Arabidopsis thaliana: one gene and its partner. The protein of the gene in region 1 interacts with the protein of each later gene in a pairwise test. Each region holds a gene or a part of one and is shown on either strand. Other genes may lie near its edges. The genes, in order: ATHM2 and G6PD4.

Region 1 (4,650 bases):
TGAATCGAGGATCCTGGAGCTCTTGCTGATGAACCAGAAGACTGCTCATGAATCTTCGATGAAGCAATGACAAGTAGATCCGGTGAACTACTCCGACGAACACTCTTTCCATTTCGTTTACCCATGGAGAATCGAAACAGCTAACAAATGAGACTGGATCGCAAAGGAAACGAAGAGAAAACGTGTAGAAGTTCAAGAGAAGAAAAAAAATGAGAAGATGAACAAACTCCGGTGAGATTCCAGTGAAATCAAATCGGAAAAGTTTGTTACGAGACTGAGATCGAGATATTTTGCTCTGATACCATATTAGTAAAACAATCTCATTCTCATTAATTAGCAAAAGAGTACAATTGGGGGTTTATATACAAACTGATATTGGCCTAAACCATAAGCCTCTAAACCAAAATTAAGATTGGTTTATAGAATACCAACCTGTACAGACTCTATATGAAATCTATACTAACCAAACTAAGCTTATATACAACAATCTAAGCTATATACATTAATAGACGAAATTTTTAAACAAAACCCAGGATTCGAACATCAAATAACCCATCCCCAACGCAACAAATATTATCAACCAACTTTTCATTTCATCAATGACACTGTGAATCATATAAAAGAGATATGATGTCGGTGTTGAAGATAACTTCTTTATTGTAAGATTATTTTGATCGAATAAGCTGCCTCAAATCTTCTAATTTCGACAACTCTTTATCTGTGAGGACACTATGAACACGTTTGTAAAAATCCATCACTTGGTCTCTAGCTACCACCATTTTCTTTCTTCGCATAGGGCTGGGGAATAATGAGTTCTTACAGTGAAAACATAAGTGGTGACCGGACGCATTGAACCTAACATCGTAGAAAACATTGAGGAAATTTTTGTAACATAATAAAAAGAGACATGTGGAAAGAGAAAACAAAAATAAAACAAAATATTGAGAAGAAACCAAGAAAGGAGGAATTTCTTTAGTAGAGAGATCTACCGAGATTATAAAGAAATTGAGGAGTAGAAGAGATGTCAGCGAGCTAAAGTGACATCAGAGGAAAGACTTTGAAGTGGTTCCTCAATACTAGAGGTATATAAGAAAAAGAAAAAGAGGCAGATCCAAAATGTTGGTTTTGAAAGTTTTATAGATTTTTAAGATTTTGTTTTTGTTTTCATTTTTCAAGAGCTAATTGTCATACCATTACCAATCAAGTTTTAAAATGTTGGTTTTCCAAGAAAATACTTTTGCTATAATCTTTTTTTTTGTCATCAGATATTATTTAGGATTCAACGAACCAATTTTGAAGAAAATTGTTAACAAAAGCGAATTTTTCATGCCAAATAGTTTTTTATTCAAAATTTTAGACTTTTAGTTATCTTATAAGCAAGCGTTATAATTTATTTATTTTTTTAAAGAAAATTTTGAGAAAAACAATTGCGAAAAAATGTCAGGAGATCTTCAAATGTTCAAAAATACAAAAAAAAAAAAAAAAAAAAAAAAATTAGTGTGGGGTAAAATAATACGTTTAAATTTTATTGACTTTTCATTTCAATAGTCAACTTTTAGTGACTTCTTATTTCAGTCGCTAACTTTTTGTTGATGTTGCCAAAATAGTCATTAAATTGACCCGAGATCACAAATTGCGGGTAACGGAACTTTGTTAAAATTTCTGTTAAATCCACAAGTGACTGGATTAAAAAAAAAAAGTGCAACTGGCCTAATATGAGCCCAATAAAAAATATCTCAAAAGTTTTATGGGCTTATTACAGATGGGCTTAGTCAGAGCACTATCTTACCCAAACAATTAAAAAAACAATTTACAATATGTTTTCGTTTTCTACTTTTTTCGGTTATTTTGGGCAAATGATATCTACAGCTCAACAAATCAAAAAAATTCAAAAATATTTCAATTTATTATTTCTCGATTTTTTTCACAACTGTATTTTAATTGTATTTTTAGTAGAAATACTTATTTTTCCAAAAATATTTGTTTGTGTTGATGTATATATAAAAAATCTGCATCAGTGTTTTGTCTACATTTTCTCTTCCATTAGTTTCGTTATCTTTTTATTTTCTCTATCTATCTGGATATTATTTTTTCACTTGGGGATTTGGAGAAACCTCTCCTCTCTCTATCTATAGCCATGGCTGCTTTCACTTGTACCTCTCGTCCTCCGATTTCTCTCCGCTCCGAGACCAGAATCGTATCCTCATCACCATCGGCTTCTTCTCTCTCTTCTCGGCGGATGTTCGCCGTCTTACCGGAATCATCAGGTTTGAGAATCCGTCTTTCTCTCTCTCCGGCTTCGTTGACCTCGATTCATCAACCTAGGGTTTCTCGATTACGAAGAGCCGTCGTCTGTGAAGCTCAGGAAACTACTACCGATAGTATGTTTTCTCACTATTCCTTTTTCGATTTTGGTTATTAACTTGTCTTTGATTCGTGCTCGTTGGTGGATTTTGAGAACTGATTATTGATTTGTGCGAGGGAAATTAGAAGCAAGGTGCTTGAATTTGTGTTGTTGTTCTTGTTGTAGCATTTAGTAATCTGCTAAAAACTTGAGATTAGTTACAGATTAGTGAATCTGGAGGAGGAAGAAGAGTTTCTTTAGGAGAGTATACCTTTTGAGAAAATTCTTGCTGAAAATGAGGTTTCTGTTAGAGGAACGATTCATGCCATTTGCGTGAAATTTGAAGAAGGTTGCTTTTTAGGATCACTTCTTTTTTGGGGATATTTTACTTGATTAATGCAAAGTCTCTCTAACAAACCTAGAAATTAGGTTGGGTACCTACTCAGATATTTTATTGGTTGGATCATACACATTGTGACAAGAAACAGTTATTTGGCTCATGAGAGAAGAATGTTGCTTTTTGTGCTTTAGAGTAAACATATCTTGATTCTCTATACCAGCAGATAACGATTTTGGTTATCACTAGCATTGATATTCTACGATTTTAGATAGGTAAGTCCTTTTCCGTGATAATGTGTTTGGTGAGATTAGCAGTATTATCTGCTACAATGTTAACTCAGTCATTGGTCTCTCCTCTCTGGTGAAAACATAAAGCTTTATCCTTCACTGGATCTATCAAATTTCTATTTTGAAAAACTTTCACTTCTAGATCATTTTTAGGAAATATCATATAGACTTGCTACAACATACTGATCTAGCTGAAGATGGATAAACGGGTCAGCTGTCTCTTTGTTTTATTCGTCCACCTTGGCTGATATATTTTGTTTTCATTCATGATTCTAAAAGCTTTGGCAATAAGGTGTTGATTTGTGTTATTGATCCTGCAGTTCAAGTGGTCAATGACTCGACATGGGACTCTCTAGTTCTTAAAGCAACTGGGCCTGTAGTTGTCGACTTTTGGGCACCATGGTGTGGACCTTGCAAGATGATTGATCCGCTTGTAAACGATCTAGCACAGCATTACACTGGGAAGATCAAGTTCTACAAATTAAACACTGATGAATCTCCTAATACTCCCGGCCAGTACGGAGTTAGAAGCATCCCAACGATCATGATCTTTGTCGGTGGCGAGAAGAAGGATACAATCATAGGTGCAGTGCCCAAAACCACACTCACATCTAGCCTCGACAAGTTCTTGCCATGAAATATCACTTGTGGAGTCTGTAAGATCTCGTATCTCTCTGTCTCTCGTTCTTGTTCTCATTATCTCTGTAACTCATTATCACTGAACATCTAGACCTGGATAAATAATATGATGTCATGTCTTATGTCATTTTTACTGGTTTGAAGATGTTTTGAGATGCGGAACTAAAGGTATCAAAGAACAATCTTGGACTAGACTAATGGAACCACATTAAAATGATTCCACCAATCTTTTTTTGGTCATGAGAGAGATCTTAAGATTGTTTGGTTCTGCAAGTTTTTTGATGAACACACGCTAAGGTTTGTTACTTATTCTAAAACTCCTCGTATTAAAAGATATTATGCGACACTCTAATGAATGAGCACATGTATGCAAAAGGGGCTAAAGGTTCATACATGTCCTAATCTAAAGAAAGAATATACGTATTCAGCTGAAAAAGGTCTTTATCGACCACGAGCAAAAGAGAATAAATACGTTCGAAATATCTCCTTATTTTTGCATAAGCAAAGAAATTCATCCACCATAGTTTATGTGTACCCAATTTGTGGATAAGGATATGTCAATTAGGACAAAATGAATAATAGCCGAAAGAATTGAGTTATTTTTGGACTGATCCCACAGTTCCCGACAAGCTTTTGAGGTTTTAGAGTTGTTGATCCGGTCTATGACTAAAGTTCGACCAAAACCAAGTTATTTAGTTTGGACAATATAAATCAGAAATATCAAGAAGATAAATTATATGATTAGTTCATAAAGTTTTAGTTTTAGATTGCCAAGAAAATATTCTAATATATTAGGTCTGAACGAAAGTGTTAAATCTGATGAAACCTCTCTATTGGTAATGTCTTTTTTTTTTTTTTTTGGTTGCCGTCCTTGGTTTGAGAATTATATATTTAGGCTGAAGATAAGGTCAAAAGAAAGATGCAATCCGGTTTTATAATAATAGATCAGTTGGACTTTTATAAATGCATTTTCGTGACTTTTGTTTGTATCAAACAACTTTCATTATAATATTATGATTTGGACTTTGTAAATGGTCTTC
Region 2 (5,991 bases), on another chromosome or scaffold:
CCTTCTCATCTAAACCATGGATGAAGTTCTCTGTAGAACTGAGGACCCTTCCAAATGGCAGAGGAAATTCAATGTCTCCCCACCTGTATTAATAAAACTTATCAATCCAATGAGTTTCCACCGGAAAAATTGATTGCGGGTCTCTCACCGGGAACTTAGAAATGTTAGACATACTTGTTGAAATTCTTGAAGGCAGCAGTGTCATCTAATTCTCCTCTCATATCCAGAGGGAATGGTTCTCCATCGACTAGTGTAAAAGGATTCATCTCCATAAAACTGAAATCCAAATCTTTAAAGAAACACACAAGTAGATAATAAGAAGATGTCCTTGAGAGATCTCGAATCAGAGCAAAGTCAAGAAGTGGCCTAATCTAATATACTCATACCTTGAAATACAGCAAAGGCACCCATTATGAAGTTGCCGATTTTAGCTCGAACCTGAAATAGATAGAAGCATTTGTTAGAGCAGGCATAGCATAGTTCAAAACAACCTAAATTATTAATCTCCTTAAAAAAGAATGCAAGTACTGAGCAGCCTAAGTTCAGACTAACAGATCTTTGAATTTGCATAGGATTGAAAGTAGAACACCATACAAAGACCGAAAATGTACGCACATCAAAACCAGATTTCTAGGGTTATCTAAAGCAAATAGTTGCAGGGTGCCGCTGGCTTACTAGGAAGTTAATCACAGGGGAACAGAAACTTACCTCAAGAGGAAGAGTTGCTATTAATGGAGCACATACTTCTAGCGTCATCGACTTTTCCGCAGGAAGAAATATAGTCTTCACCTGTTGATACCAGAAAACCAAGTTCCCCAGGAGAAAACAACAGAAGTGAGTCGAAAAAGATAATGCAACAAAACAAGAAAAGAAGCACAAAAAAAAAAAAAAAGGTAGTACTTTGTCCCAATTCTCTTCTATTTCAATGCCACCACATTCAGAGAAGCTTATAGTGCATCCAAGTCTATCAGATACTATAGAGAGGTAGTATTCTTGATCATGAGGCACAAAAGGCTCCACAATGAATGTAGTGATAGGTGCTTTACATCCCTCCATCTCGACCTGCGACTCATAAACAAACATCAATACCACAACAAAATTTACCAGCTGATCTATAACTCTGGCTGCGATGAGTCACCTCAGTGCCGAGGCGGGCTTTGACAAAGTCTGCAACTTCAGCAAGATCCAGCTTTAGAGCTACCAAACCACTTTTCCCGCGTTTCCCAAATAGCATATCCGGTTTCACAACTAGCTTTGTGGACGATAGCCATGACTCCTGGTTGGTTAACTCAGTGAAATCCGTAGATTCTGTCACCTAAAAGTATACAACAATAAACGAATCACCCATCATCAGTAGTTCTAGTAATCAACTAATCATGCCATGTCCAAAGTCATCAGTAGAAAGAGATCTTTCCCAAGATTCTCACTTTCATTAGCTCTATCTAAGTCCAAGATTACTCTCAATAACATTCAGACAAAACACGATTCATTCAAGAGTTCCAATTGAATTGTGCTATCGAATTTCCACAAAGCAGATCGATGAAAACAAAACTAGAATTCGTGAGAATGACCTGAGCAGAGCGAATCTGCAGGTCAATATTAGCAAGACGCTTCAAATGCTCCTTGAGAAGTCTCTTGGAGTCATATTCTCTGATCTTCTTCCTCGCCATCGAATTACAAACAGTGATCGTCCTCAACACTAAACCACGGAAAGTGTTTCTCCGCCTGAAGTAGCTGAGAAGAAAAGGTGACAATTTTCGAGACGATAAGATCGATGAAGTTGAGAAGAAGATGATCTCACCAACTCAACGATGACGCCGACTCGGCGGGACCAGAAGAGACGTTGACGTTGAGATATCGAAAGTCAACCTACCCACCCCCGCCTAAACCACAAATTCAATTCTCTTTCCTCGAGAACCAACCGGTACGGTTCGGTTTAGAAGAACCCGACGATTATCTGAAAGTTGGAACCATTAATGGAGGCGTCAATCAGAAAACTTAAACTTGCACTCGTCTTCCACTTTGATCCACTTAAAGCAGCTTTAAAGCTTTGAACATGTTTAGCTATAATCCCTGAGGAACTATCCTCATGTCTCTCTCCAGTTGCTTGCTTCCCTTTTCTCAATCAGCGACGGCTCCGTCTTCCTCCGTCTGCTCTTGCCATCTCGCCGCCTCTTTTTCTAATTTTCCGGTAAGCACATGTATTCGCTCTACCTTTCATGCATGCTTTCGTTTTATCAAAAGGTCATTACTTTGAGAAACAAAGATTATTATTTTTCTTGGATTATGCTAATGTTTTCTGCAATCTCACCAAAGATCTCAAATTCGTGTTACATGCCCTCTGAATCTAAGCTTTAGTATATTATTGACCTTCGAAATCAACTTGATTTCTAGTTGTTGAAATTTCTCTATTTTGTGTGAATAGGTTTCGTCAAGAGACTATAGTTTCTCCAGAAGTGGAAGCCTTGTTCTCAACGGAGGAGGCTCGAATCTCTGCCGGAGATTCTGTGGTTTGAAACTGTGGATACTTAAGAGCTTGAATCGTAGACAAGGCAACAACAGAAAACATCAGCCTGTAAACGAGCTTACAACACACTCAAAGCACACTTTCCTCAGCGATGATGAACGAGGTCTAGTTCTAAGATATGAGTCAATTTACATCTCATGTCTTCACTTGATCATTCTTTAGCACTTCCTGAGGTAGAATGTGATGCAGGTTTTGCTGAAGAAACTAGAGCTGAAGATTTACGACCAGAAGAGAATATTCTGGGAACGGATTTGAATGATGGGTTTCACAATGTTGGAGACTTACCACCTGTGTCAAAACAACTCTCGGATGATCTTTCAGATGTTCGAAGAAGGGCCTCACTTTGCATTGCTGTTGTAGGAGCCACTGGTGAGCTAGCAAGAGGGAAGATTTTCCCGGCATTGTTTGCGTTGTATTATAGCGGCTACCTTCCTGAGGTATGACTTTTGTGCTCATGAACAATTACAAAGTAAGCAGCAAAACAGTTGGATAGTTTTTTTCGGTTGTCTTCTTGATTGGTCTTCATTGTCACAGGATGTTGCTATATTTGGGGTTTCAAGAAAGAATCTGACAGATGAAGACCTCAGATCCATCATTGCATCAACGCTGACTTGCCGTGTTGATCATCAGTATGTATAATTCTTGGTACTACCTTAAATTTGGTATCTCTGATATACGGCCGTGCTAGCTAAAGAATGATGCTAAATGTTCAGGGAGAATTGTGGGGGCAAGATGGATGCATTTCAGAGTAGAACATACTATATCAATGGAGGTTATAATAACAGGGATGGGATGTCCCGACTTGCCGAGAGAATGAAACAGATTGAGGTTCCTAAGTACCTTTTTTTCTTTCTTTCAATGATTACATTTTGTCCCAGAAGTAGTCCTCTTTCTGAGTTTACAACATTTTGAACAGACAAGCAAGATAGAATAAGACATTAACAGCTTTTCTTCTTCAGGGAGAATCAGAAGCAAATAGAATCTTTTACCTCTCAGTACCTCAAGAAGCTCTGGTGGATGTGGCATGCACCATTGGAGATAACGCTCAGGCACCACGAGGCTGGACTCGAATAATAGTTGAGAAACCTTTTGGTTTTAACTCACATTCGTCTCATCAGTTAACAAAGTCACTTCTCTCTAAGTTTGAAGAGAAGCAAATCTACAGGTCCTTCTTTTAAATCTAGTTGCTTTCTGCATGCACAGCTCTCAAGTTCATATTTCTTCACACTTCTGTGCCCGTTACAGGATAGATCACATGTTAGGAAGAAACCTCATTGAAAATCTGACAGTGTTAAGGTTTTCAAATCTAGTTTTTGAACCACTATGGAACAGAACATACATACGCAATATACAGGTAGTGTTTCCTTCTGATTGTTTGTAGTTGTGTATAGTGCCTGAACTTTCCTCTTCCACATTCTGGTTTGTTCACTTTGTGTATAAATGATGTTTCCAGGTTATTATATCAGAATCAATTGCGCAAACAGAAAAGTAAGGCACAATAGTTCTATTTTCACCATTTCTTTGCATGTGAGAGTAAATTGTGTTGTTTCAGCATTCTTAGACAAATCAGTAATGTTATTTTCTAATTTCCTACTGCTTTTTTTAAGGTTTTCTGATGGATATGGAATAATACGGGACATAGTGCACAGCCATATACTTCAGACAATCGCATTACTTGCCATGGAACCTCCGATAAGTCTCGATGGTGAAGATATCCGAAATGAAAAGGTCAACCTGTACTGTAAAGAACAAAATCGTCTTATGGTATATATGTAAGTTGTGTACTCTTGTTCTGTCAAGTGACTTGGTGACAAACCTGCTTCTGCAGGTGAAGGTTTTAAGATCAATTCGCAAGATAGACCCGCGTGATGTCATCCTTGGCCAGTATAAATCCAGTTCCCGAGACAAGAACGGTGTGATCTTGAACGGTGTAGACCCTACATATTGTGCAGCAGCCTTGTATATTGATAATGCACGTTGGGATGGTGTACCTTTCCTTGTAAGAGTTGGCACTGGCCTCATTAAACACAGGTAAGAATAATTATTCCTACTCATAGACATATCCAACTGTCATAACAATTGATTGGTGTGCCTTAATGTTGAAAGAGTGGAGATTCATGTGCAATTCCGGCATGTTCCTGGAAACCTATACCGAGAAAATATTGGAATAAACATAGATTTGGGGACAAATGAGCTTATTCTACGTGACGAACCTGATGAGGCCATCCTGGTGAAAATCAACAACAAGGTTCCTGGTTTAGGTCTTCAGCTAGACGCTTCTGAACTTAACTTGCTCTATAAAGACAGGCAAGTTTTGCATTCTCATCTTTGTTCCTACACATTTTAAAAATCGAACTTTTGCGCCTTATGGTTGGTTGAATTGTTGGATCAAACCTGTAGGTATAAAACCGAAGTACCAGACTCATATGAACACCTAATTCATGATGTAATTGACGGAGACAATCATCTGTTCATGAGAAGCGATGAGGTTGCAGCAGCATGGAACATTCTTAGTCCGGTTCTAGAAGAGATAGACAAGCATCACACAGCTCCGGAGTTGTATGAATTTGGTGGACGAGGACCAGTTGCGGCATACTATCTTTGGGCCAAGCACGGTGTCCCATGGGCAGATGACTGAAGAAGAAACATAGATGCAGCAACAAACAAATGAGAGTGATTCTGAATGGTTATTGTGAAGTGTGTTTGTTTAGCTTGAAGCTGTGCCATTCCCTGTAGACTGTACATATGTACACATGTATGTCATGTTGCTATATGAATGTCCATCATGGTGGGGTCCATAATAGTGTTGAAAAGTCTCCAAAGCCACCCAAAGGAAAGAAGAAAGTCTGAGAGACTTTTAGATAAGGTCATGTTGTTAGTCTTCCCACTAGAGGCAATAATTATATCTTCTCCACCAATTCCTCCAGAAAATTCTTCCAGATGTATCATGTGTTGATGATCAAAGTAGGATGAAAATGATGTAACTAAAGAGAAACATTTTCATAGGGGAAGGAAGAGAGAGCGGTTCAATGGACAGAGACAGAAAGAGGGTGAAAATGGAGAAGGAAGATGACGAAGAAGAAAAGATGGAGAAGTTGTACACAGTGCTTAAAAACGCAAGGGAAATGCGGAAATATGTCAACAGCTCCATGGAGAAGAAGAGACAGGAAGAAGAAGAAAGAGCAAGGGTTCGTAGATTCCCTTCGTTTCAGCCAGAAGATTTCATTTTCATGAATAAAGCAGAGGCCAACAACATTGAAAAAGCAGCTAATGAGAGCTCTTCAGCATCCAACGAGTATGATGGCTCTAAGGAAAAGCAAGAAGGATCTGAGACTAACGTTTGTTTAGACTTGAATCTTTCTCTGTAGCATACATACATACAAGAGACAAAGAGCTCTTCAGTTTCTGTATAAGCAACAAAGAATGTTAGTAACTACGTACCAAAAACAAATGTGTCATGGAAT

Evidence for each region.
Region 2: the proteins of ATHM2 (region 1) and G6PD4 interact in a two-hybrid assay, tested with the Arabidopsis thaliana proteins (one study listed by BioGRID).

What each region holds. Positions count from the first base shown.
Region 1 is NC_003075.7:1,561,543-1,566,192, reverse strand, and holds ATHM2 (Thioredoxin superfamily protein), read left to right. Parts: upstream 1-1,988; 5' UTR 1,989-2,137; coding exon 2,138-2,381; intron 2,382-2,797; exon of another isoform or gene 2,798-2,956; intron 2,957-3,291; coding exon 3,292-3,608; 3' UTR 3,609-3,990; downstream 3,991-4,650. UniProt on the Arabidopsis thaliana protein: Thiol-disulfide oxidoreductase that may participate in various redox reactions. May activate NADP-malate dehydrogenase.
Region 2 is NC_003070.9:3,037,814-3,043,804, reverse strand, and holds G6PD4 (glucose-6-phosphate dehydrogenase 4), read left to right. Parts: upstream 1-1,931; 5' UTR 1,932-2,089; coding exon 2,090-2,191; intron 2,192-2,425; coding exon 2,426-2,630; intron 2,631-2,716; coding exon 2,717-2,964; intron 2,965-3,061; coding exon 3,062-3,156; intron 3,157-3,240; coding exon 3,241-3,355; intron 3,356-3,486; coding exon 3,487-3,692; intron 3,693-3,772; coding exon 3,773-3,881; intron 3,882-3,980; coding exon 3,981-4,015; intron 4,016-4,134; coding exon 4,135-4,291; intron 4,292-4,355; coding exon of another isoform or gene 4,356-4,361; coding exon 4,362-4,558; exon of another isoform or gene 4,559-4,633; coding exon 4,634-4,834; exon of another isoform or gene 4,835-4,861; intron 4,862-4,927; coding exon 4,928-5,165; 3' UTR 5,166-5,336; downstream 5,337-5,991. Other genes in the region: ACLA-3 (ATP-citrate lyase A-3), read right to left, coding at 2-83, 175-289, 387-438, 709-789, 901-1,062, 1,139-1,315, 1,572-1,670; NIMIN-3 (NIM1-interacting 3), read left to right, coding at 5,557-5,895. UniProt on the Arabidopsis thaliana protein: Seems to be a catalytically inactive enzyme.